7 linked regions of the Macaca fascicularis genome follow. The main gene of each other region encodes a partner of the protein of the gene in region 7 in a complex. Links are inferred from orthologs where the notes say so. Each region holds a gene or a part of one and is shown on either strand. Other genes may lie near its edges.

Region 1 (3,500 bases), on a different chromosome or scaffold from region 7:
TATCTTTTGCATCAAGAATCTGCCATGCCCTCTTCTCTTGCACTGGGAATATATTTTTAAAATGTGTCATGAAGCTGAGAAGTTCTCTCCTTTCTGGGAATATCAGTGTTTAAGGGTAGTTATTAAAACTTGACAGAACAAAGCAGAAATAATATTCCAAAAACTGTTCTCATCCTGAGTGAAGTTGCCCAACTAAGCTGTGTATAGTAGATCAATGTAAGATATCTACTATATTCAGACATACAATAAGGGCATTCATTGCCTTTTTTCCCCCAGTGACTTCTAGCTGCAGGGATTCTTTTTTTTTTTTTTTTTCTTGAGACAGATTCTTGCTCTGTCGCTCAGGCTGGAGTATAGTGGCCGGATCTCAGCTCACTGCAAGCTCCACCTCCCGGGTTTAGGCCATTCTCCTGCCTCAGCCTCCTGAGTAGCTGGGACTACAGGCACCTGTCACCTCACCTGGCTACTTTTTTCTATTTTTTAGTAGAGACGAGGTTTCACCGTGTTAGCCAGGATGGTCTCGATCTCCTGACCTCGTGATCCGCCCGTCTCGGCCTCCCAAAATGCTGGCATTACAGGCTTGAGCCACTGCGCCCAGCCGCTGCAGGGATTCTTTGATCAGAGAGAGACACTAAGTGAAAAGTGGTGTCGGCCGGGCGCGGTGGCTCAAGCCTGTAATCCCAGCACTTTGGGAGGCCGAGACGGGTGGATCACGAGGTCAGGAGATCGAGACCATCCTGGTGAACACAGTGAAACCCCGTCTCTACTAAAACTACAAAAAACTAGCCGGGCGAGGTGGCGGGCGCCTGTAGTCCCAGCTACTCGGGAGGCTGAGGCAGGAGAATGGCGTGAACCCGGGAGGCGGAGCTTGCAGTGAGCTGAGATCAGGCCACTGCACTCCAGCCTGGGCGACAGAGCGAGACTCCGTCTCAAAAAAAAAAAAAAAAAAAAAAAAAAAAAAAAAAAAAAGAAAAGTGGTGTCTAGAGCTCCAGACTGTGATCCCTGTGCTGAACTGCTGCTTCCTTGGGGGTTTGGGAGGGGATGGCCAGTCAGGCCAATAGTCTTTCCATCAGCCTGCTCAGATATTACACGTCTTATACAGTAAGACAGAGTACCCTTATAGCCTAGGAACTTAATGTTGTTGAAAAATTCATACTCTACCTGCAACATCTGTGGCCACCAGGACTGGGATGTCCTTTTTCTTAAAGTCTGAAATGACCTTGTTTCTCTCACTCTGATCCATATCCCCATGGAGCAGCCCAAGATTATGACCCTCCTGTTTAAGGTTATTCGCTAGCTCTTCAGCATTGGCTTTTTTAGTAACAAAGAGGAGGACACTCCCTGAAGAGGTAAACTCTACCAGACGCCGGGTAAGCCAGTTCCATTTACTAGGTCCAGAATGGAGAATCTCCACAATCTGTGTCACATCTTCATTTGCCTGAGAAGGAAGAAATGAAACAGATGATTGTGACATTGGAGTCACAGGCCACCTAAACAAGGACTAGCATTGTATTTTCTACCTGCATCGAGAAGACCTTCAACAATCCAGTTCTCCTTGGGCCTTCCTTCAGCAAGTCAAGTGCAGCTCAAAACTCACCTCTCCTTTTCAATCACCTTGCTCTCCGCCTGGTGTATATACCTAATTTGTATGCCCCACTACTTTCTAGAGCTTTCCTTAACAATAACCATGGCAAGCAACTGAAGGATTCTTAAGCAGCCATAACTGAATTCCAAGTCCCAATTCAGAGAAATTTTCCATATAGCGCATATGTACAGGTAAGAAATGAAACCTGATTTTTGCCAGGCCTTTCAGGTCACCCTTTCCCTCCTGTGTAGGCCCCTCCCACAATAATTAAAACGTCAGTTCCAACCTAACACACTGTAGTATGCTTCCAGGCAGATCTTTTTGTCTCTTTGAAGCCTTTTTAAAACAATTATAAAGTTTTGAGACATTCAGTAAAACAAACAGAAAAGCAAAATGAACAAAATCAACTCGTACCCATCATCTAGCTTCTATGATTCCCAATATTTTGCCAGTCCTCTTTCATGTATCCCCACAACTTGCAAAATACCAAATCTCAAGCATGTTGCATCTATAAACATAACATCTTTTTTTATCTCAATAGTGAGAAATTAATTCTGTGTTCCATAATATGAGAAATAAACACATTAAGGTCCCATCCAGCCCTGTTTAGGGTTACCTCTCCAATATCTCCCTGCACCACTCGAATAGGGTCGATCAGGATGTCTCTGGCCAACTTTTCAATCTTTTTCCGAAAAGTTGCACTAAATAAGAGAGCTACAAGATAAGATAAATTCTGTTAGAGAAACAGTATATCTTTATGAATATCCATTAAGCTTCTTTGGCATTCAAGATTATTCAGTTTTTTTACATAAGCTCACCTGAGCTTTAAATTTAGTTTAAAAATTGATTCACTAGAGAAAGATTTGCTCTTATTCTATTTTTATTACATTTTTAGTTAAGACAAGTTGTCAGCATGGTTCAGAAAAAGACTCTTGATTTCAAATCAGCAGATCTGTACTGATCATTGCTTCTACCCGCTGATAAAACTGTATAATTTTGGGCAGCTTATTTAATTTCTGAGGCTTGCTTTTATCATCTATAAAAAGGAACAAGTTATATCTAGTGCTAAGATCCTGTCCAGCTCAGATAAACTCATTACCTCCCTCGTTACGGTTCTCACCAATACACACATGATCATTTTTACTTCCATAACTCTGAGTGCTTATAAAATAAATAAGTGTCCTTTTTAGTACAAATTTGGTTTAACGAAGGTGCTTCATACATACTCTGTCTGTCAGGACGAACATGACTTGCTATGGATCGAACTTGGTACTCTGGAAGAAGCAGAACAATAAAATTAATATTATAACCTGAAATACAGTTTGGGAAGCCTGGAAAAAGCCATTGTAGTAAAAGTATTCACAAGAAGTTGTAAGAATTAAGAAAATTAGAAACCCCAGGCCGGGCGCAGTGGCTCATGCCTGTAATCCTAGCACTCTGGGAGGCCGAAGCAGGTGGATCACCGGATCACTTAAGGTCAGGAGTTTGCAACCTGGTCAACGCAGCTCTCTCTACTAAAAATACCGAAAAAAAAAAACAAAAACAAAAAAACAAACTAGCCAGGTGTGGAGTAGGTGCCTATAATCCCAGCTACTCAGGAGGCTGAGGCAGGAGAATCGCTTGAAACTGGAAGGAGGAGGTTGTAGTGAGATCGCACCACTGCACTCCAGCCTGGGCAACAAGAGTGAAACTCTGTCTCAAAAAAAAACGAAGCTCCTAGACATATCGTTCAGTATAAAAGTGAAAAATTTTCCCTCCATCCAACTGGGCTAGGTCTAGCAGTGTTCCAATCAGTAAAGACAGCTATGAGGATAGGAAAGCAAAGGGCCTCGAATCATCTGACATTCACCTACCCAAGTACACAGACCTTAACCTCTATGATCAAAGGCATATGAATAAAAATAAAGACAGAGA
Region 2 (3,500 bases), on a different chromosome or scaffold from region 7:
AGGGGACCTAAAACTTGAACTCTTTGTATTTCTTGCTGCCCCCACGGCTGTCCTGGGGCTGAGCTTTCCGTTTCTTTTGCTGCATAGGGAGAAAGAGACACAGGTTATAACAGGTTGAACCACCCCCAGACCCCCAAAACAAGGGTGGGCAGCCTGACATAGACATAGAAGTCTGTGGGAAAGGTGCTGAATCTGGATTCTCTTCGAGCTCCCTCTCAGACTTGGCTGAGTTCCTCCCCCTCATCGTCCTTAAAGAGGGCAGCCCACTGGAGGATTTCTAAGACTTCCAAATCTAAGCGCACAGGGCAGCAAGCAGAGGCCACCCTCACTCTCACCACTAGAGGGCACCACACCACTGAAAACGGCAGGCCAGGGTCCCTGGCTCTCACCCAGCCCAGCGCCCCTGGAAGCGCCTACCTTCTGTTTGGCAGCATGCTCAGCCACCATGTCGCTGAAGTCCTCCTTCTCTACTTGAGCCTGCTGCTCCCGCACATGCTCCTCATACTTCTGGGTCATGGCCATAGGATCAAGCTCCAACTCCTCAGGCGCCAGCGCCACTTCCACACCTTGCAGTTCAGGAGCTGGGCCCTTCCGGCTCATAACCTGGAAAGGAGATCAGGGCCTTGTCACCTCCAAAGAGAGTCAGAGAAGCCCTAGCTTCTGCCGCCCTTCTCAGCCTCCAAAAGCAGTATGTCCTCCAAGTACTCACCGTGGACATATCATAAATGTGGGTTGATCCCATCATGGCTCCCCCAACAGTGGCTGTTCTCTTCTCTGGCAACACGGTGAAGAGCTGAGGTGTCTCACTTCTGTGAAGGACAATGGGATCAGGCCCAAAAAGGAAGGGACAAAAGGGTCTCCAGAAGCAGAAACAAAAGATACAGGTGGCACCTCCACTCAGCGCCTTGGAGAGCTTCTGAGCTCCCCAAGGATGCAGCCTCTGCAGTTCATGGAAGCCCATGACAGAAAATAATTGGGCAGGGGGAAGGGGAGGGTGGCACAGTGCTGACTCCAGGGAACACAGATGGAGCTAAGGGGCCCCCTAAACCAAGTTAGGGGATCACAGACCAGGACTCCCACATGTACAGAAGGGTCAAAAGGTCAGAGAGGCTCAAAGTTTCCAAGAGAACTTTGGTACAGAGAAGCTAGCAAGAGAGAGCAGGTGACAACAGTTCCCACCCGAAGAATGTCATGCCTTGAGTTCTCATGTACGTAATTCACACTTCAGGCCTTCCGACGCAAGAGCCATCCACAGCCAGTTTCACCACTAATTTCAAGGATTACACTAGGAATAAGAGCACCTCTACCACTATTACCCCAGACTGTGTCCATCATCTCCACCTCTCCCACTGGAAGAGGTGACAATCTATTCTCCACACAAGAGCCAGAGAAAATGGCTTAAAATGGATTGCAGGTCCTGTCAGACCTTTGCTCAAAACCCTCTGAGGCTTCTGATCATTATCTGAATAAAATCTAAACTCCTTACCATGACCTAAAGGGTTCATAGCCTGATCCCTTACCCAAGCCCTCCTCACTATACTCTGTCCACAGTACCCTTCTTTATTTTTCTTCCTTGAATATGCAAAGCTTGAGACTTCTGCTTCCTGACAAGGAGCAACAGGAACCAGATACACCCTCCTGCCTGAAACAACCAAAAAATGGGCAAAATATATGAAACAGTGGTTTTCAAGACACTAGACATGGGGCAACAAAGCACAGTGATTCCTGCAAGATAGGAAACAAATGCAATGAGCCCTTCAACTGCCCCAGCATACTGCACCAAGAGTTTGCAGGCCACAGAACAGAGGGAAGACGCATGGAGAGCCCTGAGGACTCCATGAGTTGGGAGGATGAAGCTGAAAGTCCAGGGAGATCAAGGCAGCTAGAGTTCACAGGATAGAGTACTGAAGAAAAGAGCTGAGAGAGAACTCAAGAGACCTAGAGAAGGTCCTCAAGTATGCAGGGGAGTACTAAGCAGCACATGCCTACCAAGGACAGGGAAAGAAGCACCCGAAAGGATTCGTAACAGCACCTGCTGCTCACTCAGAACTGGGAATAGTGCAACTCCCACTAGCCAGACGGAAAAACCTCCTGATTCACAGGGCGGTGGGTAGAGTCCACAGGCACTTGTGCCTCACAGTGGGGAGGACTGCTTCAGTCCTGCCTCAAGAACCCCAAAAACAAGACCTGAAAGGATCAAACTAGCTCCATATAACTATATTCCTGAATGAGCTGAAGAAAATCTACAGGAATACAAAAATATCATGGACCCAACAAGGTAAATTTCACAAAGCCTAGCATTCAGTAAAAAATTACCAGGCACTGGACAGGTCTGGTGGCTCACACCTGTAATCCCAGCACTTTGGGAAGCTGAGGCAGGAGGACTGCTTGAGCTCAGAAGTTCAAGACCAGCCTGGGCAACACAGTGAGAACCTCTCTCAAAAGAAAAAAGGAAAAGAAAAAAAAATTACCAGGCATGCAAAAGAGTAGGAAAATACAATCCATATGAGAAAAATGAATCCACTAATGGCAATCAACCCAGAAATGGCACAGATGTTAGAGTTAGCAGACAATACATTAAAATGTTGTTACAGCCAGGTGTGGTGGCTCATGCCTATAATCCCAGCACTTTGGGAGGCTGAGACAGGCGGATCACCTGAGGAGTTCAAGAACAGCTCGGTCAACATGGTGAAACCCTGTCTCTACTAAAAATACAAAAAAAGTAGCTGGGTGTGGTGGCACACACCTGTAGTCCCAGCTACTTGGGAGGCTGCGGCACAAGAATCGCTTGAACCTGGGCAGCAGAGGTTGCCATAAGCCGAGATTATGCCACTGCACTCCAGGCTAGGCAACAGGGTAAGACTCCATCATAAAATAAAATAAGATAAAATAAAAATAAAATATTGTTATAACTGCATTCCACATGTTCAAAAAGTTAAGAGAGAAAGAATAGATTTAAAAGACCTGAAATCAAACTTCTAGAAAGGAGAATTATATTGTATGGGATTACTGTTAGACCAGAAATTACAGAAGAAAATAATAGTAAACTTGAACACATAGCAATAGAAATTTTCTAAAGTGAAATACAAAGAGAGAAGAATTTCTTTAAAAATGAAAAGCATCGGCCGGGCGCAGTGGCTCAAGCCTGTAATCCCAGCACTTTGGGAGGCCGAGACGGGCGGATCACGAGGTCAGGAGATAGAGACCATCCTGGCTAACACGGTGAAACCCCGTCTCTACTAAAAATTACAAAAAAATAGCTGGGCGAGGTGGCGGGTGCCTGTAGTCCCAGCTACTCGGGAGGCTGAGGCAGGAGAATGGCGTGAACCCGGGAGGCAGAGCTTGCAGTGAGCCGAGATCCGGCCACTGCACTCCAGCCTGGGCAACAGAGCAAGACTCCGTCTCAAAAAAAAAAAAAAAAGAAAAATGAAAAGCATCAGTGAGCAGTGGGACAACTTAACAGAGGAATAAGGTGAGAGGAAAGAGAAGGGAACAGAGAA
Region 3 (4,193 bases), on a different chromosome or scaffold from region 7:
CCTCCCAAAGTGTTGGGATTACAGGCTCGGCCGACTCCAAGGTTTTTATGCTGAGTGAGAGGAAGGATGGATGGAATTTTTGGTCACCTGATATGTATAAAGCTGCAGGAGGAGGTTTATAGAGGGAAAAATTAGAGGAATGAGGTTAAAGCTGGAACAGGATGAAAGGATGAAGAGGGAAGTGAGGATCTTTTTTTTCTTTAAAGATGAAGGAGCTGGGCACAGTGGATCATGCCTGTAATCCCAGCACTCTGGGAGGCCAAGGTGGGTAGATCACCTGAAGTCAGGAGTTCAAGACCAGCCTGACCAACGTGGCGAAACCTCGTTTCTACTAAAAATACAAAAACTAGCCAGGCGGTAGTGACACGTGTCTGTAATCCCAGCTACTTGGGAGGCTAAGGCAGGAGAATCGCTTGATCCCGGGAGCGGGAGGTTGCAGTGAGCCGAGATCGTACCACTTCACTCTAGCCTGGGCCACAGGGCAAGACTCTGTCTCAAAAAACAAAAAACAAACAAACAAAAAAAAGTTGAAGGAAATCAGAGCACATCTGAAGGCTGAAGAGAACAGTTCAGTTGAAAGAGAGTGTTCTGGGGCTGTAGGAGAACTAGACTCCAAAGAAGCAATGCAAGAAATTTATGAAAGAAGAGGTGAAAAGTCAGGTCTGTGGGTATGAAAGACAGACTTGGTTACTCCTGTAGACACGCCTCTCACATCTCCTCGTCACCTTCCATCATCACTCCTTCCCATTCACTCCAGACACACCACATGTTGCCTCACTGATGGACACACACCACATCGATTTTCTGCCACTATGCCATTGCTTGGGCTGTTACTACCAACAGGAACACTCACTCTGTTCTTCCCTCTCACTAAACCCTACTTATCCTTCCAGACCACTCTGGTCTAAGTCCCCAGCATCTCTAGCCTGGACTACTCATCCCCTTGCTTCCACCTTCACTAATGAGTCTGTTCACAGCAGCCAGAGGGATGCTGTCAAATCATAAATCATATTTCATCTATGCTCAGGGCTTGCCTAGGCTCTCATCCCACTCAGAGTAAAAGCCAAAGTCCTCACAATGGCCTACAAGGCCCTGCCTTGTCTAGCACCCCCATCTCCTTTCTGACTTCGTCTACTATCCCTTCCCCTCACTCATTCCACTTCAGTCACACTAGTCTCTTTGGTGTTCCGCAAACACTCTAGGCAGTGTCTACCTTCAGGGCCTTTACATTTCCTGTTCCCTTTGCTGCACACCTCATTCAGATAATCCTAGGATTCAAGTACGTTTTTAGCATCCAGATATCCAGATTCATTTGGTAATGCTTCCAAAAAGGATGACAGGAGAAAGGACAGGTGGCGGGCCTCTAGCACACAGACTTTCCCTGCTATGTGCAGGGACAAAGCCTAGCAGACAGGGCAAAGAAAGGCTGGGGCAGGAGGGGGACAAGGGGCCAGCTCACTGTCTCTGCCCGGGGTTCGCTGTCTGCCCCTTCCCCGCTGGGGGTGCATCCTTTCTGGATCATGGGGATAGCGAGCGTGGGGTCGACACCCGCATTCTCTCTCTCTTCCAGAGACTTCTTGGATTCTAAGGGAAGAATAGGAGGGAGCAATGAAGTCCCACTCTATCCTTCCACCTTCTTCATCTTCTTCCTTCACTGGGGAAGGGTAAAGGGGCATCACTCACCCTCAATGAGCTCCTTCACAGCCTGGGACAGCACCCCATCTGCCAAGGCCTCAGTATCTGTGGATGGCCCAGGGGGCCGGGCTGGTGACTGCCTGCGATGGCCATTCTGGATCAAAGGGATGACGAGTTCCTTGGGGGCTTCCTGGGGCTTCACACTGATGTGGACACAGAGGGGTGGGGTTGGGAGAATGGCAGTGTCAGTGGGTCACACTCCTTTATTCAGAGAAAACACGAGAGCCAAACTCACCCCAGCCCCACAGACCATGCCTTCTCTACTCCATGTCTGGATCTCCTGTACCTCTCTGATCGTGCATTCTTTGGATTATCCCCCCCAGTGCCCCCAACTCGTAAATGTCAGTGCCTTCGAGAAATAAGTCCTGGACTCTCTGTTTAACTCAAGACCGGCTTCCACAATGGCCCACAAATCACTATCTTCAGCCTAGACCCTCCCTAGCTCCAGGTTCCCAAACAGCTTCCCAGATGCCTGATTCTCTTCTGGAAATCCCTCCCTCAGACTCTCCTCTCCTCATTAAGCTGATGGTGGCCTCCATCAACCTGAATCTGCCGCTCCATCCCGTTCCCCATATCAGAGAAGCCCCACCACTTCAGCTGAGACACTAGCAGGTCCTGTCATTTTCTCATTCTTTCCTTCTCCCAAAACGCACACACCTCAGTGTCCTCAAGTCCTAAAGACACTTCTTCTCAGTGATACATCCTCTCTTCGCAATTCCCACGGCTATCAGGCCCAATTTCCCCACCCCTCTTATAAACTCCAGCCTTCTGGCCTCCACGAATTTACTCAGGCTGTGCTTCAGGCTTAACAGGTCACTGTCACCAAGACAAACGACTGAGTGAGATTCCTCCCTCCCGCTTACGCCCACCGCAGCGATTTCCAAGGTGTGAAAGACCCGGCGCGTCACCTCTGCAGCTCCCTCCCTTCCACGGTTTTCAAGAAATCCTTCTCCTCCGGAGATGGCCTCGCGCCGTCTCCCGAGTCGGCCAGCCGCCTCCGTGCGGACGTGCGAGTGAAGCCGAATGAAATTGGGGCAGTGGAAGCAGCCGTCAGCGGCAAAACACCCTCTTCGGAGTCAGCCATCTTGCCCCTTTTCCCAGGCCTGCGCGCTGCTTGCTGGGAAATTTAGTTTGGGTTCAGATGGCTAGGGGCCGGCCAAAGTGCGTAAAAACTACCTTCCCATCAACCACTGTGGCACCGGCGGGAGGGGGCGGTAAGGGGCCGTGGGAAGTAATTGTCGCTCTTTCAAACGTCGTGGGAGTGCGTCGCGCCAAGTGCACAGGGAAATGTAGTTTTTTTTGTTTTGTTTTGTTTTTGTTTCTTTTTTTTTTTTAAAGATGGAGTCTTGCTCTGTTGCCCAGGCTGGAGTGCAGTGGTGTGATCTCGGCTCACTGCAACCTCTGCCTCCCGGGTTCAAGCGCTTCTCCTGCTGCAGCCTCCCGAGTAGCTGAGGCTACAGGCATGCGCCACCACGCCCGGCTAATTTTTGTATTTTTAGTAGAGACGGGTTTCACCGTGTTAGCCAGGATAGTCTCCATCTCCTGACCTCGTGATCCGCCTGCCTCGGCCTCCCACAGTGCTGGGACTACAGGCGTAAGCCACCACGCCCGGCCGGAAATGTAGTTTTTAGCGAGGTAGGCATGGTGGAAGGTGGATTCATTCTTGCCAGGCATTGATTCCTTCGTGTAGGCGTTTGACAAGTATTTATGGAGCGCCTACTGTGTGCCCTACTCATGTGGGAAGTGTTGATGAAGTAAATCATTTAGAAATAATCAGCCAGGTGTGGTGGCGTGCACCTGTAGTTTCATTTAGCCCACAGGCTGAGGCAGGAGGATGGCCTGAGGCCCAGGAGTTCGAGGATGCACTTAGCTCTTATTGCGCCACTGCATTCCAGCATGGGTGACAGAGCGATACCCCGTCTCTAAAAAAGAAAAAGTCAGGGTCGGGGGCGGGGGAAGGAGTGTCAGTTGTCTACAATAGTAAATAATAGACATAAAGTGCCTACTGGCCAGGCGTGGTAGCTCATGCCTGTAATCCTAGCATTTTGGGAGGCCTAGGCTGGTGGATCACCTGAGGTCAGGACTTTGAGACCAGCCTGACTCATATGGTGAAACCCTGTCTCTACTAAAAATACAAAAATTAGCCGGGCTGGTGGTGGCACCTGTAGTCCCAGCTACTCAGGAGGCTGAGACAGGAGGATTGCTTGAACCCGGGAGGCAGAGTTTGCAGTAAGCCGAGATCCCGCCACTGCACTCCAACCTGGGCGACAGAGCGAGACTCTGTCTTAAAAAAGAAAAAGAAAGAAAGAAAGAAAGAAAGAAAGAAAGAAGAAAGAAGGAAGGAAGGAAGGAAGGAAGGAAGGAAGGAAGGAAGGAAGGAAGGAAGGAAGGAAGGAAGGAAGGAAGGAAGGAAGGAAGGAAGGAAGGAAGGAAGGAAGGAAGGAAGGAAGGAAGGAAGGAAGGAAGGAAGGAAGGAAGGAAGGAAGGAAGGAAGGAAG
Region 4 (4,286 bases), on a different chromosome or scaffold from region 7:
AAGACCAAGATAAACTAACTCAAATCACTACCCAGCTTTCAAAGGATTTAAATCTTTTGACAAATAATTAGTTTTAGAGCCCTATCTGGGAAAAATGATGGCCAGTTTATCTTGATTCTTTATAACTCTGACACCACCTTTAAGAAAAAACTCACCTTATTCCTTCAAAGCTATTATAATTCTCGGAAAAGCAACTGTACATATGCACACCCATATTTTTAATTTTTACACTTAAAATTTGTAAGCCAGAACCACTTACCTGACTCAGCCTTTCTTTTTTCTCCCTTCTTTCTGGGATCAGTGGGTTCTGAGGCTTTTTCTTGTGGAGGTTCCTCTGCAGTTCTAGCATGGACATCTTCAACATTTGCGGTAGAACTAGATGCGCCATCATTAGAGAAGCCATAATTGGCCTGATATGTAGCAATGAAATCTTCAGTGATCTAAACAAGCAATTCAGCAGACCCAGACAGAGAAATTCAAAATTATTTCCACCCATAAGAAGTTTAAATTGTTTTTACAGCATGGTTACACAACTTAAAACAGAAGTGTTTCTGTGGATAATAGTTGTAGTTATTAGAGTATAAATGCAATAGTCATCTTATATAGAAAATTGTGCATGCGGTGATAAAAAATAAGACACGAGTACTTAGACGATCAATGCAAATGTCTGAGATATGATTTAAAGCATTTTAAGTGATGCTGGCACCTTTTCTAGTTGTTTCATTTATAAATTACTACCTCTCTACAGTCTACTTAACTAAGGCTACAAATACATACAACAAAGGAAGTACCAGATAATAAAACAATAAAAACCAACAGTCAATGAATAATCTAACCACAGAATCCACTTTTCTCTTACTGTACACATGCACAAATATACGTGTACAATAAGTACTTAAATATCTGTATGCAGAGAGCACGTAGAACAGAACTCTGACTTGGTATATAAAGAATGGAGTTAACAACTGTAAAACTAAATGCTCATTTTAACTTTATCACAAATTAAGACGTTATCTTTTAGTAACAGAACAAATTAAAGACAAATCCAACTCATATCTATCTTCCTCCCCTTTGGGGGAAAAGCGTTATTGCAAAACTAAAGAAATATAGTTATACCATCATACCAATCAACATTAGGCACGCATGGAATGGGGAAAATGTAAAACCCAAAGTTTGAAGAGGTATGGGCTTCAATAACATAAAAAGATAAAGTCACACATTAATCCATTATCACACCTTTGTTAAAAGTATTCAGAATGCTGAAGAAACCAAATCTGCACTCAAAACTAGTACTACCAATACAGAAGTGAAATCGTAAATTTTAACAATCTGGAGGCATTGGAATATGTATACAAATACAGAATGGGAAAGAAAAGTTGCAAAAGAATTTTTAAAACAGCCGTCCAGTCGCGCAATGGAGACAGGTTTTGTATTATTGGCTTGCAAGTCAATTTGCGTGCTACTAGTGTGCCCTTTCCTGCTCATGAGAGCCAGATTAAAAGGGCACTTTTACCACAAAGTTTACAGAACCAAGTTTAACATTACTTATTTTACTTCGAAGCTGAAATAAAAATACTTAGCAATTTCCAAGTACTCCAAACAAATATACACAGATATTTTCCATCTGTATTCTGTGCGTCTCCAGTCTTATTCCTGTGGTTATATGGTTCAAACATATATGCTTAGGGACAAAATTTGCTAGGAAAGTAAAGCAAGGTGCAAAGAAAGTTCAATTAGTAAAGATATGTAAACAGCTACTTTAAAAAAATCAAGAAACTGCATTTTGCACATAGTACATAAGCTAAACATCTGAGTTCCTAGGACAAGTGGGGTCGGCTACCAGAAATGGACAGCTACTAAATTTGCTCTTGGTGTTTTTCCTCTTCGCAATAAAAAGCAGTCATCAATGTAATTACCAACTGTGACCTTCACAGACAAGATTAATAAAGCATAGAAAAAACTTAAAAATTACATTTAAGACACCACCCTAAAGATTTACGTTCCTTCACACATCGGTGCCCCGACAAACACAACAAAAAGAAGCGCCGCTATCCAAGGGGGCTAGGACCAAGGACCAAGGATCTCAGCAAAGCAAACGTAAGAGGAGTGCTCCGCGAGGCTGGCCAGGCGACCCGCTCTGCAGTGGCGCCCGTGGCACTCTCCTACCTTGGGGAACCAAGCCTTCTTGTCCAGGTCCCACTCGTAGGGGGTGTCCGTCGGCTGCTGCCCGAGAGAATCGGTTTCTCCGCCGGCATCGGTCTGGGTGTCACCATCCTTGCCGTCTCCGTACAATTCTTGCATTCGCAACTGCTCATCAAACTCATCGTTCCCATCCAAGTTGCTGCCGCTCATGTTTCCTACTCAGCTCAGGAGAAGGGTTCAGAAGAACTAAGAGGCCGAAATGACGCTGGAGCTGAGCAGAAAAAGGGAGGTCAATCGCGCTCTGCTCGCGCCCCGCCGCCCCCCGGCCCGCCTCCCCGCGGCGCCCCAGCAGTCCCCGGGAAATCGGGGCCGCTCGGCTGCCGCACCGCCCCCTGCTCTGCCCGCCCACCGCGCGCGCGCGCTGATGCTGGGAGCTCGGCCGCGCCGCCGCCCACCTGGCTTGCTCCGCTGGGCCTCGGCACCGCCGCTAGGTCCAGGGCGCTGCGGGAGCGCGCAGGCGCGCCGCCGCCGCCGCCGCCGCCGCCGCCGACCGGGTCTAAGGCGACTGCGGCTCCCTCGGCAACGTCAGGATATTACTTGTAAACTAAGCCCTGCTCAGGCCAACGCAGCCGCCATTGTCGGCGCGTCGCGACGTCGCGGGTCGCGCCGACACGCCCACTGTGGCGTCAAAAGGCGCCGACGCCGGCACGCGGCGCGAGACCCGGGGAGGCGGGGCGCCGGAGAGGGGGGAGCGCTACTGCCGGGCGTCGACGCCCACCGGGTTCGGCCTTGGGGCGGGGCGAGGGCCACTGGGATCCCCTGACGCCTCAAGGGCCTTGAGGTCCGCGGGGTTCCCGGCGAATCGGCCGGCCCGGGAGGGAGACGGAAGGAAGGCGTGGGAATATTCCCTCGCGGAGGTGGCCGGGCGGGTGTCGCGAGGACGCCATCTTGGGGGAGTGGGTGGGGCGGGCAGGACAAATATCTCTGGCTTCGAGAAAACGACGCGCCTCCTTCGCCCAAAGGCCCCTCCCCCGCGCAGGAACCGTGTCTTTTACTTGTTTCTTTCCGACTCCCTGGGATGGACACCGGATATTGTTCTTCTTGGTGACCTAAGCTCCTGGCACCGGCTCTGGTGTCTAATGCGGAATGAGCGAATGAATGAACGAATGAGGGGTAAAAGGGCCAACTTTTTTTTTTCTGGTGTCAGCCTTCTCCTTTATCGGTCTCATACCTTCCTCTGGCTGGAGTTTGACTCCATGGGAAGGATGGGAGGGGCTGCAGTTGCCTGCCTCTTGTACTGCAGGATTCAGTGGCGCTCGAGCTGCGAACTTGAAACTTAGACATAAATGTAAACATCCCAGTGTAAACACCAGCTTTACTGGCCGGCAAACTCCGCTTCTTTGTCATTGTTTTAGAAAGACACAGCATACTTTTGTTCTAAACAGAACTTTGTTTTCAGGAATTACACTCATTGCTGAAAATGAAAAGGTCCATATTTTTAAGTTGGGCAGGTATTTATCCAGCCCCTACTAAGTGCAGGGTTCTGCACGAGGCTCTGGCGACCCAGGAGTCGACAAGACAGGCACAGCTCAGGGGAGACAGAATTAGGATGGTTGGCAAATGACAGATATGAGATGCTGGAGGACAGCAGTTCTCAAACTTTTTGGTCCCAGGTCCTCTTTACACGAAAACATTGAAGACCCCAAAAAACGTTTGTGGATTATACTTACCAATATTTCTGCACAAAAATTAAAGCGGCCGTTAAAAAATATTAATTCATTTAAAATAATAAGGAACTCATTAGTGTAACCATAAATATCACAACCCAGGCTTGAGGGTGGGGAAAACCTTCCCAGAAGAAATTATTTCACTATTCCAGTGACCTTCACTTCTAAACATAGCAGTTGAGTACTACTTCTAGAAAATCCTGGCTCCCCACGTACCAGCTGTGTGAATCTATGGTTTCAACGATAACAATAGTTTTTAATAGTTTGGGTTAGTTTTTCTAAATTATATTTCTTTTTCATGAAGTTCGCATCCTGGTAGGAACTCGGAGAACTGAATTTGTGTGCATTTTTATGATACAGGTAATGTGAGTTTTATTAGACTTAAACTTTGCTAAATATTTTTTCCTGGATCCAAAA
Region 5 (4,260 bases), about 94 Mb from region 7:
TGAAGAGATTCTCCTGTCTCAGGCCCGGCGCGGTGGCTCACACCTGTAATCCCAGCACTTTGGGAGGCTGAGGCAGGCAGATCATGAGGTCAGGAGTTCGGGACCAGCCTGACCAACATGGTAAAATCCCGTCTCTACTAAAAATACAAAAGTAAGCAGGGCGTGATGGCACGTGCCTATTGCGCCTGTAATCCCAGCTACTCCAGAGGCTGAGGCAGGAGAATCACTTGAACCTGGGAGGCGGAGGTTGCAGTGAGCCAAGATCGTGCCTCTGCACTCCAGTCTGGGCAACAGAGCAAGACTCCGTCTCCAAAAAAATAAAAATAAAAAATAAAAGATTCTCTTGTCTCAGCCTCCAGAGTAGCTGGGACTACAGATGCACACCTCCACACCTGGCTAATTTTTTGTAGAGATGGCAGGGTCTCACCATGTTGCCCAGGCTGGTCTCAAACCCCTGTTCTCAAGAGATCCTCCTGCCTCAGCCTCCCAAAGTGCTGGGATTATAGGAAGAGCCACTGCACCTGGCCTTGCTTACTTTTAAATAAGCAGCCACCAGTGATTTTCTCAAGATGTTAGCAAAAATGCAGAAAACAGTTTGCCTGTTCCTTAGTTTGGAGATTTTGTCTTTAACAATTTTCCCCAGTTCCCCAGTTTCTTCCTGCCTAGAGGTCTTCCCTTATGCCTGACCTGTCTTCACTCCTGCTGCAGGCAAACCAATCCTAGCAAAGGTCACTTTTTTGTTTGTTTGAGACAGAGTCTTCCTCTGTCGCTCAGGCTGGAGTGCAGTGGTGGGATCTCGGTTCACTGCAAGCTCCGCTTCGCAGGTACAAACGATTCTCCTGCCTCAGCCTCCCGAGTACCTGGGGCTGCAGGCGCACGCCACCACACCCGGCTAATTTTTATATTTTTAGTAGAGACAGGGTTTAGCCATCTTGGCCAGGCTGGCCTCGAACTCCTGACCTCAAGTGATCTGCCCGTCTTGGCTTCCCAAAGTGCTGGGATTACAGGCGTGAGCCACCGCGCCCGGCCAACACGGCTAATATGCTTCATGAGCATGGACCCCATCTTCCAATCTGAAATAGAATTTCGGTTGTCCCTTACTTTGTAGAGTTTTTGGCTCTATAAAACTTCCATACTTTATTTATTATGTATCCTGTCCCTCCCCCACCGCAAAATGTAAATTTGGTAAGGAACTTTTGATTTGTCCTCTGCTAGATCCCAGCGACGGAAAGCAATGAGCACACATTAGGCCTCCATTAAATTGATTTCACTTGTTGAATGAATGCGTTAGGGAAGCACTCACGAACTGACCATCAGGGGGCGTCAGAGAAACTGGATAGAGGCGGAAATGAAGAAAAAAGAATTACTCCGAACTTTCAGGCATGGTTCCGCGAGGTTTGAACTCGCTCGGCCACCGTAGTGCTTAGAGGCCGGAAAAAGTGCAGCCCCTTCCGGGCTTTGCGGTACCGGACGACGGCTTTGGGATGTCGGAAATTGATCCTAGAGGTCCCAAGGTAGCCGCCTTGCGAAGCTGAGGCTCCAGCCGAGGGCTCCAGGCCTCCGACCGGCCCAGCAGTGAACGGGGCTGCCCGACGCTTCAGGGCTGGGAGCAGGGAGCGTGGGTCGCCATGGCGACGCCGGCGGGGCTGGAGCGCTGGGTTCAGGACGAGCTGCACTCGGTGTTGGGGCTGAGCGAGCGGCACGTCGCCCAGTTCCTGATCGGTACTGCACAGCGCTGCACGTCGGCCGAGGAGTTCGTGCAGCGCCTACGAGACACTGATACTTTGGATCTCAGTGGACCGGCCCGGGACTTCGCCCTGAGACTCTGGAACAAGGTGTCGGCAGGGTGGGGAGGGGTCCTGTGATTTGTCCCGATGAGGCTGGCCTAACGGTCCATCGAGGAGTTAAGAAAGCTCAGTTCACAAGCACTTATTCTTTGTCCGTTGTCGCCTAGGTACTGTGCTAGCTGCTGGACGCCCAGCTCAGTGGAGAAGATTGAGGAGGGCTTAGGTGTGTCGGGTTAAACGCAATAGAACGGTGTTTTTCGAACTCTTAACATGCATCCAGGGCCCTTGTTAAAATGCAGATTGCGATTCAGTAGGGATCTTAGTTTCTGCATTTCTTTCTTTTTCTTTCTTTCTTTCCTTTTTTTTTTTTTTTTTTTTTTGAGAGACACAGCCTCGCTCGCCCTGTCGCCCAGGCTGGAGTGCGGTCATAAGATCACGGCTCACTACAGCGTCGATCTCCCTGGCTGAAGCGACCCTCCCATCTCATCTTCCCCAGTAGCTGGGACTATGGGCATGCGCCACCACCCCCGGCTAATATCTTTTATTTTTATTTTTATTTTTAGAGACGAGGCCTTGGTGTGTTGCGCAGGCTGGTCTCTAACTCCTCAGCTCAAGCAGTCCTCCTCTCTCAGCCCCGCAAAGTGCTGGGATTACAGGCGTGAGCCACCTTGCCCGTCCCCCCTCAGCTTCTGAACTTCCTTTCAGCCGTTTAATTAACAGAGGAGGCCCGGTGCAGTGGCTCACACCTGTAATCCCAGCACCCCAGAAGGCTGAGGCAGGAGGATCATTTGAGCCCAGGAGTTCGAGACCAGCCTGGGCAACATAGTGAAACCTCCCTACAAAAAATTTAAAAATTAATTGGGCGTTGTAGTGTGCACCTGTGTTTCCAGCTACTTAGGAGCCTGAGGTGGGAGGATCACTTGAGCCCAAGAGGGACAGAGTGAAACCCTGTCTGTAAAAAAAGCCAAAAAGCTGTGGGCCCCATTCAGGATGATAAACATGGGGTGAAGCCATGAGGAAGACAGAATGAAGGCTGGTTAGCTGGTTTAAAACTAAGTAATTGTGCCCGGGTGCGGTGGCTCACGCCTGTAATCCCAGCACTTTGGGAGGCCCAGGCAACTGGATCATGAGGTCAGGAGTTTGAGACCAACCTGGCCAACATGGTGAAACCTCATCTCTACTAAAAATACAGAAATTAGTCAGGTGTGGTGGCAGGCGCCTGTAATCCCAGCTACTTGGGAGGCTGAGGCAGGAGAATTGCTTGAACCTAGGAGGTGGAGGTTGAAGTGAGCCGAGATCACACCATTGCACTCCAGCTCCGGGTGACAGACCAAGACTCCATCTCGGCGGGCGGGGGGAGACTAAGTAATTGCTTAAATTAGGAACAGAGCTAGAGCTAAGTGGGAGGGCAGAGATCAGGAGTTGCTCAGACCTCCTTATCTTCCCCTCTACTGACAGGTACCACGAAAGGCAGTGGTAGAAAAGCCAGCGCGGGCAGCAGAGCGAGAGGCCCGAGCCCTGCTGGAGAAGAACCGATCTTATAGGTTGTTGGAAGACAGTGAAGAGAGCAGTGAGGAGACTGTGAGTAGGGCTGGAAGCAGCCTCCAGAAGAAACGTAAAAAGCGGAAACACCTCAGGAAGAAGCGTGAGGAAGAGGAGGAAGAAGAGGAGGAAGAGGCTTCTGAGAAAGGGAAGAAGAAAACAGGGTAAGTCAGAAGCAGGGCGAGGGAGGATGGGGCAGGCTGAAGTGTGCTCAATGCCCTTATTTAATCCCCTGGATGGGCTGCAGGGGGAGTAAACAGCAGACAGAGAAGCCAGAGTCAGAAGATGAGTGGGAACGGACAGAGCGTGAGCGCCTTCAGGACCTGGAGGAGCGTGATGCCTTTGCTGAGAGGGTTCGACAGCGGGACAAGGATCGGACTCGAAATGTCCTGGAGCGGTCAGACAAGAAGGTGAACAGGAGCAGCACGTTCTGTAAATCCCCAAGATCCCAGGGTGAAATGTGAGGTTGGCTGTGATTGCAGAGATGGTGATCTCTGGGAAGACAAGGGGCTTTCTCTAGTGAGATGTTCCCCTCTGTGGGGAGAGATGAGGTGAGAGAAGCCCTGTGCATCCTGTGGCTAAGGCAACTCTACTGTACCTGCAATCATACAGATCCCTCACTGAGAGGGGACATTTTTTGTGTTAGGGTACATCTGAATGATCCTTGTGATTCTAAAGAGGAGCAGCTGTCAGTGTGGGGGCTCTTTGGCCTCACACCCCTCTATTCTTGTTTTTTTTTTTTCTAGGCTTATGAAGAAGCTCAGAAGCGCCTCAAGATGGCCGAGGAAGACCGGAAGGCCATGGTGAGTCCCAGGGCCCAGGGACCCAAGATCAGAAGACAAAAGGGAAGACCGTCTGATAGAGTGGTTACGTATAGGGAGAGAGAATACAGAGGAAGCACGGTGTGGATGCTGATGGAGTGGTCAGGTCT
Region 6 (3,500 bases), on a different chromosome or scaffold from region 7:
AAAGCATTGGTGTGGGAAGAAGTCTTCATTAAAACATTCTGTATTTACACAAACACACACTTGCTTTTTCTCTTTACTTGTTTTTGAGTTGTAGGGTGGGAGGATGGGTCACTATAGAAAAAAAGTAAGGTGACTTGCTGGATTATATGCTTAATGTTGAGGGAGTTTGGAAATGGCCCTGGTATACAAATTTATAGGCTTGTCAGGAACTAAAATGTACTCCCTGATATTTTGTAACAAAAACAATACCTGACATTCGTTGGCTACTTAATAAATATTTGTTGAATGAATGGAAATCTTTATCTTTTGACTGTATTCTCAATAGCAAACGTTCATTCATAGCTTTGCCTTTTTATGCCTGCCTGACTCTAAGGATTGATAATACTTTTTTCATACTCAAATAAAATGACATCACTGAAATTCCACTACAGGTATAGCGTCAGTTACGACAGCTATAGCTACTGCTTACAATAGATGTTTATACACACATAATCTAGCATTAAAAAATTTTTTTCCCTTAATTTTTTTTATAAGACAGGATCTTGCTGTGTTGCCCAGGCTGGTCTCAAACTCCTAGGCCCAAGCAAGCCTCCCAAGTACCATGCCTAGCTAATTCTAGCATTCTTTATAATGAGGAACAATGAGGTTTCCTAAATTGATATTAAAATAAGGAAAAAATAATAGAATAATTTCTTATGGCTGCATAATAAAATTATAAATTCTTTATTTTTGTTTGTTGCCTACAAATTTTCTTTAAAATAGTGTTATTGGCTGGGCGGAGGAGATCACCTGAGGTCAGGAGTTCGAGACCAGCCTGGCCAACGTGGTGAAACCCCGTCTTTACTAAAAATACAAAAATTAGCCAGGTGTGGTGGTGGGCGCCTGTAATCCCAGCTACTTGGGAGGCTGAGGCAGGAGAATCACTTGAATCCAGGAGGCGGAGGTTACAGTGAGCCAAGATTGTGCCCCTGTACTCCAGGCTGAGCAAGAAGAGCGAAACTCCATCTCAATCAATCAGTCAATAGTATTATTTAAAAAAGAAGACAGATAATTTTCTCTTCATTTTACGGAACAGGAAAACCAAGACACAAACAATCTCACTGTTTACCTGACATCACCCAAATATGCAACAGAGCTAGAATTAGAATCAATGTTTACTTTTTCTGATTTTTGGTATGGTACAGTGCTCTTGATTTATTTAACCTTTTATATATTTTATATATATATCTGACCTTGTTCAGTTTTAGACTCTCAGGTGCCTATATGAGGGAAATTAGGAAAGGGCAATGTAAGGTTGGTTTTTATAAGTTCATTGTCACAGTAGTTCATGGTATTTAGTTTGTCACATTGAAGCTTTGCTGGATGTGACTCTAAGCTGGCAGAGAAATCTTGCAAAGTATCTTTTTGAAATTAGTATCACACCCAGCTGCATTCTGTTGTAAATTACCAACATTGAGTGTGACATTTTTCCTTCCTGCCTCCTCAGCTAGCCCCAGTTATTGGGATTTAGATGTATTTTCCTGCTTGAAAAAGAGAAGAGCCTTAACAGGTAGCAGTGTGTCGTGTTGGACTTCGCCTATCCAGGAAACAGCATCTGTCATTGATTGACGTGATACTAATTTCAGCTGGGTGCCCACGAGGCCTCTGACCGATAGTTGTTTTGGTTGGTTTGTTTATTTGGATTTGTTTTGCAGTTCGTGTCTGGGATGTCCGGCCATTTGCCCCCAAAGAGAGGTGTGTAAAGATATTTCAAGGAAATGTGCACAACTTTGAAAAGGTGAGTTCTGCTTGGCAGAGGAGTTTTACTGTTCATTTACTTCAGAGAAACATTTAAGGTGGTACTAAGGATAGAGAGCAGTAGCTCTGCTAAGAATGGACTTCATTCCTGTAACACTGCTCTTAATCAAAACTTGTTGCCAAAAATAAAGCTAATAGAAATAATAGTGACTGGGGAGAAGCCAGTCACATAGCCCAAAAGGAATGGAGCCAGCCCTCAAACTGAGGGCATCTGACTTGACACCACCCTCAACAGGACACTCCTGGCCTTTTAATTACTTGTAAATTTTACCCTCCTAAATCAGTTTTCCATATGGAACCCAAGCTCCCATAGCTGTTACCCGGATGGTCTCCCTACCTGCCTCCCCATCCTGTGACCACGTGTTTTAGAATCCTAAGAATACATCTCTCCCCTCAGTAACTACCACGGCCCAAGTTCTGAGAGAGAAAATTTTTTTCAAACCCTCAAATTTCAAGGTCAGCTCTATTGAAAGAAGCTTTTCCCCTGAGAGAATTTGTTAATAGAGATTAATTTTTTTTTTTTAAGAGCTCATTGAGATTCAGTTTCACTGTATAAATCAAATTTTATTTTTTGGACCTGGCACAGTGGCTCACAGCTGTAATCCCAGCACTTTGTGAAGTCAAGGTGGGAGGTCAGGAGCTAGAGACCAGTCAGGGCGACATAGTGAGACCCTGTCTCTACAAAATATAAAAAATCTGGTTGTGGTGGCATGTGCCTGCAGTCTCAGCTGCTTGGGAGGCTGAAATGGGAGGATCACTTGGGCCCAGGAGGTCAAAACTACAGTGAGCTATGATTGTGCCACTGTACTCCAGCTTGGACAACAGAGCAAGACCCTATCTCAAAAAAAAAAAAACAAAAAAACCCCAAAATTTATTATTTGTTGGGTTTGTGTGTATTTTTCTTAAAGATAGTTAGGGAAAAAAAAAAGAATAATGAGTATCAAGATAAATGGAGCAAAGGGAACCTCCATTTATAAGTAGAACAAAATTTTGTTGTCAGGTTCAATCTAATTAACTGTAAGTTAAGCATTTTCTACAGTTTTTATATGGTGTAAAATAACAAAGTATGCTATTTTGAGCATAGAATATAAGATAATTACTGACCATCTTCCTGAGAAGAATAATTAAAACTCTACTTAGGAAATGTAAAGCCTCTCAGTGATTCTGCAGCCTTGCAAAGAGGAGTTTGGTATATTACTATTCAGTGGATTCTTATTTATTATAGAACCTTCTGAGATGTTCTTGGTCACCTGATGGAAGCAAAATAGCAGCTGGCTCAGCCGACAGGTAAGGATTACTGGGTGCAAAGTAAAGAATGATGTAGCTGGCCAGATGTGGTGGCTCGCGCCTGCAATTCCAGCACTTTGGGAGGCCGAGGCGGGCGGATCTCCTGAGGTTAGGAGTTCGAGACCAGCCTGACTAACATGGAGAAACCCCATCTCTACTAAAAATACAAAATTACCTGGGCGTGGTGGCACATGCCTGTAATCCCAGCTACTTGGGAGGCTCAGGCAGGAGAATCACTTGAACCCGGGAGGCAGAGGTTGTGGTGAGCCGAGATCGCACCATTGCACTACTCCAGCCCGGGCAGCAAGAGCGAGACTCCATCTCCAAAAAAAAAAGAATGATGTAGCTATGCAGGATGTCTTCTTGTGTTTGATACATAAAGCGTGGATATGGAGCTAGAGCAGACATAGAGTTAT
Region 7 (2,592 bases):
GTAGAGGGAACAGCTTGTACAAGAAAATGGGTATGGGCACAACAGGTAACACGGAGAAGTACAGTTGTCCCTCAGTATCCGTGAGTGATTTGTTCCATGACTCCCATGGATACCAAAACTAGAGGATGCTCAAGTCCCTGATATAAAATGGCTTGTATTTGCACATATGCACATTCTCCTGTATAGTTTGTCTCCAGATTATTTAACAATACCTAATACAATGTAAATGCTATGTAAATAGTTGTTATACTGTATTGTTTAGGGAATAATAACCTTAAAAAGTCTACACTTCAGTACAGACTGACTTTTTCCCCAAATATTTTCAATCGGGTCGGTTGAATCCACAAAACCCACTGAATGGAAGGGCCAAGTAGGGTGCAGTGAGGCCTTGGAGGAAGGATATCAAAATAAGTGGCTAGAGAGGAAGGAGGAGCTTGAGGTGGAAGCCGGAATGTGTGGGAATTGGTGCTGTACTTGCTCACCAAGCACCCTGGTTAGAGCTGAAATAACTCTTTTATGCCACAGACTCCTAAGAGACATAGCTGGGACCAGAACTTGTGCCTGCCGACTTCTGGGAAATCCATCCCTGGTTGTGAAGGGATGGCTGTGCTACCATGATAGCTTTGGAAAACAGGGAGAGTTTATTTTCGGGGCTGCTTGTAGTCCAGTCCTACTTGGGTTTCCCATTTCCCATCAGCCCCAAGCCACCCACGGATGCTCCCCACCTCCCAGACATCACCCTCCACTAGGTCCCCAGATCACTTTTAAAACGCGACCAGGGGCCTGGCGCAGTGGCTCACGCCTGTAATCCCAGCATTTTGGAAGTCCGAGGAGGGAGGATCACGAAATCAGGAGTTCGAGATCAGCCAGGCAAAGACAGTGAAACCCCATCTCTACTAAAAATACAAAAAAAAAAAAAAAAAAAAAAAAAAAAAAATTGGCCTGGCGTGGTGGTGTGCGCCTGTAATCCCAGCTACTGGAGAGGCTGAGGCAGGAGAATCGCGTGAACCCAGGAGGCGTTAAGTTGCAGTGAATCGAGATCGCGCCATTACACTGCAGTCCCGGTAACAGTGCGAGACTCTGTCTCAAACAACAAAACGAGACCAGGAGTTCCAGAAGCCTACGAGCACGAACTCCCAAGACCACAAGTCCCAGCATGCAAGGCTCCCTGTTGGAAAAGGGCTTCCCATAGCCACCAAGTGGACCATCATGCAAAGCTCTCTGACGGGGCGGGGCTCTCTACAGGGGCGACACACTTGTGGCGTCGCCTCGGCAACTCCAATTCCGTGACAGAATGTGCTTCCGCTTCCGCCTTTGAGCCCTATGAGCGAGACTTACGCTACTTAGTCGTCGTGACGCCATTCTTCTGCGACGGCGCGGGCCGGGAGCTTCCGCACGGTGGCCTCACTCCCGCGTGAAACGCCAGAGCGGCGATTTGTTGTCTGCGTCCTCTGTCCTGGGAACTAAGGGGAAAGCGGCGAGATGACGGACCGCTACACCATCCACAGCCAGCTGGAGCACCTGCAGTCCAAGTACATCGGCACGGGCCACGCCGACACCACCAAGTGGGAGTGGCTGGTGAACCAACACCGCGACTCGTACTGCTCCTACATGGGCCACTTCGACCTTCTCAACTACTTCGCCATTGCAGAGAATGAGAGCAAAGCGCGAGTCCGCTTCAATTTGATGGAGAAGATGCTTCAGCCTTGTGGACCGCCAGCCGACAAGCCCGAGGAGAACTGAGACTCTGCCTTACCACCACTGTGCGGGGCACCTCTCCCAGTGTTCCTCAGGTTGGCCAATCCCTTCGACTATTTCTGCCTCCAAAGGACCGGCTCTCCATGGCTCCTGCGTCTGGTACTTCCGCGTACAGAAGTGCTTGCCCGGGGAATCCCGCCTGACCTGCCTTCATGTGAACCCTTTGGAATAGCACTGGGAGACCAGCAGAACCCCTGAGAACTGTGTTGGTGAAGAGGGCCTAGAGCCGGCAAGCGTTTGAGAAGAGGGCGTGGCGCTGGAATGAGATGGGATTTGGCGTCTCATTTTTGGCTAATTGATTGTCATTGGCTTTTTCCATAAAGTTTAGAAATCATTCACTCTCTTGGTGTGAACTTCCTGTGTTAGGGTGGAGGGCTCCTGAAAGACCCGAGCGGGAAATGGGTCGGGGGAGGGAGTGCATGCCAGTGTCCATGATCAGGTACTTAAATCCACCCTGTCTACCATTATAATTAATTCCCCGACTGCCACTTCTCCCAAGAGCGTTATTTTCAGGCCCACAATGCCTTCAGTATTGAAGTTTGTGGTTATTGTATCCCATTTTCTTTTTCTCCCGTTTTAAAAGTCTTTGCAGTCTTTGCTGTCATTGTCCTCCTTAGCCTCTTTAAAATGCATCCTTTCTTTTTCTTGGGAATTTGTGGCCATGTCTCCAGAAATGACAAGCTGGCAAGTGAGTTCATCCTTTCTATATTCAACAAATATTTGTTGAGCTCTATGTGACAGGCATTTTCCCATGGTCTTGAGGCTTACATTATGCTGGTGGTGGAGAAAGGAGGTCAAACACTGTAGACGTAATAAGTAAATGTTAGAAGATGC

Evidence for each region.
Region 1: the proteins of SF3B5 (region 7) and DDX42 are in contact, whole or in part, in a cryo-EM structure (PDB 7EVN), measured with the Homo sapiens proteins. The link is inferred for Macaca fascicularis from reciprocal best matches to the Homo sapiens genes SF3B5 and DDX42. Residues at the interface, in NP_112577.1 of Homo sapiens: Arg4, Tyr5, Thr6, Ser9, Gln10, His13, Leu14; in NP_031398.2 of Homo sapiens: Asp156, Ala159, Tyr160, Phe161, Tyr163, Met164, Asn167.
Region 2: SF3B5 (region 7) and SF3B2 share a complex: the UniProt entries of both Homo sapiens proteins name them as parts of the SF3B subcomplex of the 17S U2 SnRNP complex. The link is inferred for Macaca fascicularis from reciprocal best matches to the Homo sapiens genes SF3B5 and SF3B2.
Region 3: SF3B5 (region 7) and GPKOW share a complex: the UniProt entries of both Homo sapiens proteins name them as parts of the minor spliceosome. The link is inferred for Macaca fascicularis from reciprocal best matches to the Homo sapiens genes SF3B5 and GPKOW.
Region 4: SF3B5 (region 7) and HTATSF1 share a complex: the UniProt entries of both Homo sapiens proteins name them as parts of the 17S U2 SnRNP complex. The link is inferred for Macaca fascicularis from reciprocal best matches to the Homo sapiens genes SF3B5 and HTATSF1.
Region 5: SF3B5 (region 7) and DHX16 share a complex: the UniProt entries of both Homo sapiens proteins name them as parts of the minor spliceosome. The link is inferred for Macaca fascicularis from reciprocal best matches to the Homo sapiens genes SF3B5 and DHX16.
Region 6: SF3B5 (region 7) and SNRNP40 share a complex: the UniProt entries of both Homo sapiens proteins name them as parts of the minor spliceosome. The link is inferred for Macaca fascicularis from reciprocal best matches to the Homo sapiens genes SF3B5 and SNRNP40.

What each region holds. Positions count from the first base shown.
Region 1 is NC_088390.1:70,316,136-70,319,635, reverse strand, and holds part of DDX42 (ATP-dependent RNA helicase DDX42), read right to left. Parts: intron 2,861-3,500; coding exon 2,813-2,860; intron 2,301-2,812; coding exon 2,203-2,300; intron 1,440-2,202; coding exon 1,163-1,439; intron 1-1,162. UniProt on the Homo sapiens protein: ATP-dependent RNA helicase that binds to partially double-stranded RNAs (dsRNAs) in order to unwind RNA secondary structures. Unwinding is promoted in the presence of single-strand binding proteins.
Region 2 is NC_088388.1:8,324,392-8,327,891, forward strand, and holds part of SF3B2 (splicing factor 3B subunit 2), read right to left. Parts: intron 810-3,500; coding exon 710-809; intron 604-709; coding exon 418-603; intron 80-417; coding exon 8-79; 3' UTR 1-7. UniProt on the Homo sapiens protein: Component of the 17S U2 SnRNP complex of the spliceosome, a large ribonucleoprotein complex that removes introns from transcribed pre-mRNAs.
Region 3 is NC_088395.1:49,285,877-49,290,069, forward strand, and holds the start of GPKOW (G-patch domain and KOW motifs-containing protein), read right to left. Parts: upstream 2,801-4,193; 5' UTR 2,780-2,800; coding exon 2,604-2,779; intron 1,839-2,603; coding exon 1,684-1,838; intron 1,585-1,683; coding exon 1,460-1,584; intron 1-1,459. UniProt on the Homo sapiens protein: RNA-binding protein involved in pre-mRNA splicing. As a component of the minor spliceosome, involved in the splicing of U12-type introns in pre-mRNAs.
Region 4 is NC_088395.1:142,629,579-142,633,864, reverse strand, and holds the start of HTATSF1 (17S U2 SnRNP complex component HTATSF1), read right to left. Parts: upstream 2,801-4,286; 5' UTR 2,598-2,800; intron 2,414-2,597; 5' UTR 2,353-2,413; coding exon 2,167-2,352; intron 441-2,166; coding exon 260-440; intron 1-259. UniProt on the Homo sapiens protein: Component of the 17S U2 SnRNP complex of the spliceosome, a large ribonucleoprotein complex that removes introns from transcribed pre-mRNAs.
Region 5 is NC_088378.1:141,982,364-141,986,623, forward strand, and holds the start of DHX16 (pre-mRNA-splicing factor ATP-dependent RNA helicase DHX16), read left to right. Parts: upstream 1-1,460; 5' UTR 1,461-1,628; coding exon 1,629-1,835; intron 1,836-1,954; exon of another isoform or gene 1,955-2,010; intron 2,011-3,245; coding exon 3,246-3,493; intron 3,494-3,576; coding exon 3,577-3,739; intron 3,740-4,075; coding exon 4,076-4,132; intron 4,133-4,260. UniProt on the Homo sapiens protein: Required for pre-mRNA splicing as a component of the spliceosome. Contributes to pre-mRNA splicing after spliceosome formation and prior to the first transesterification reaction.
Region 6 is NC_088375.1:203,742,177-203,745,676, forward strand, and holds part of SNRNP40 (U5 small nuclear ribonucleoprotein 40 kDa protein), read left to right. Parts: intron 1-1,694; coding exon 1,695-1,777; intron 1,778-3,022; coding exon 3,023-3,084; intron 3,085-3,500. UniProt on the Homo sapiens protein: Required for pre-mRNA splicing as component of the activated spliceosome. Component of the U5 small nuclear ribonucleoprotein (snRNP) complex and the U4/U6-U5 tri-snRNP complex, building blocks of the spliceosome.
Region 7 is NC_088378.1:48,298,912-48,301,503, reverse strand, and holds SF3B5 (splicing factor 3B subunit 5), read left to right. Parts: upstream 1-1,406; 5' UTR 1,407-1,482; coding exon 1,483-1,743; 3' UTR 1,744-2,092; downstream 2,093-2,592. UniProt on the Homo sapiens protein: Component of the 17S U2 SnRNP complex of the spliceosome, a large ribonucleoprotein complex that removes introns from transcribed pre-mRNAs.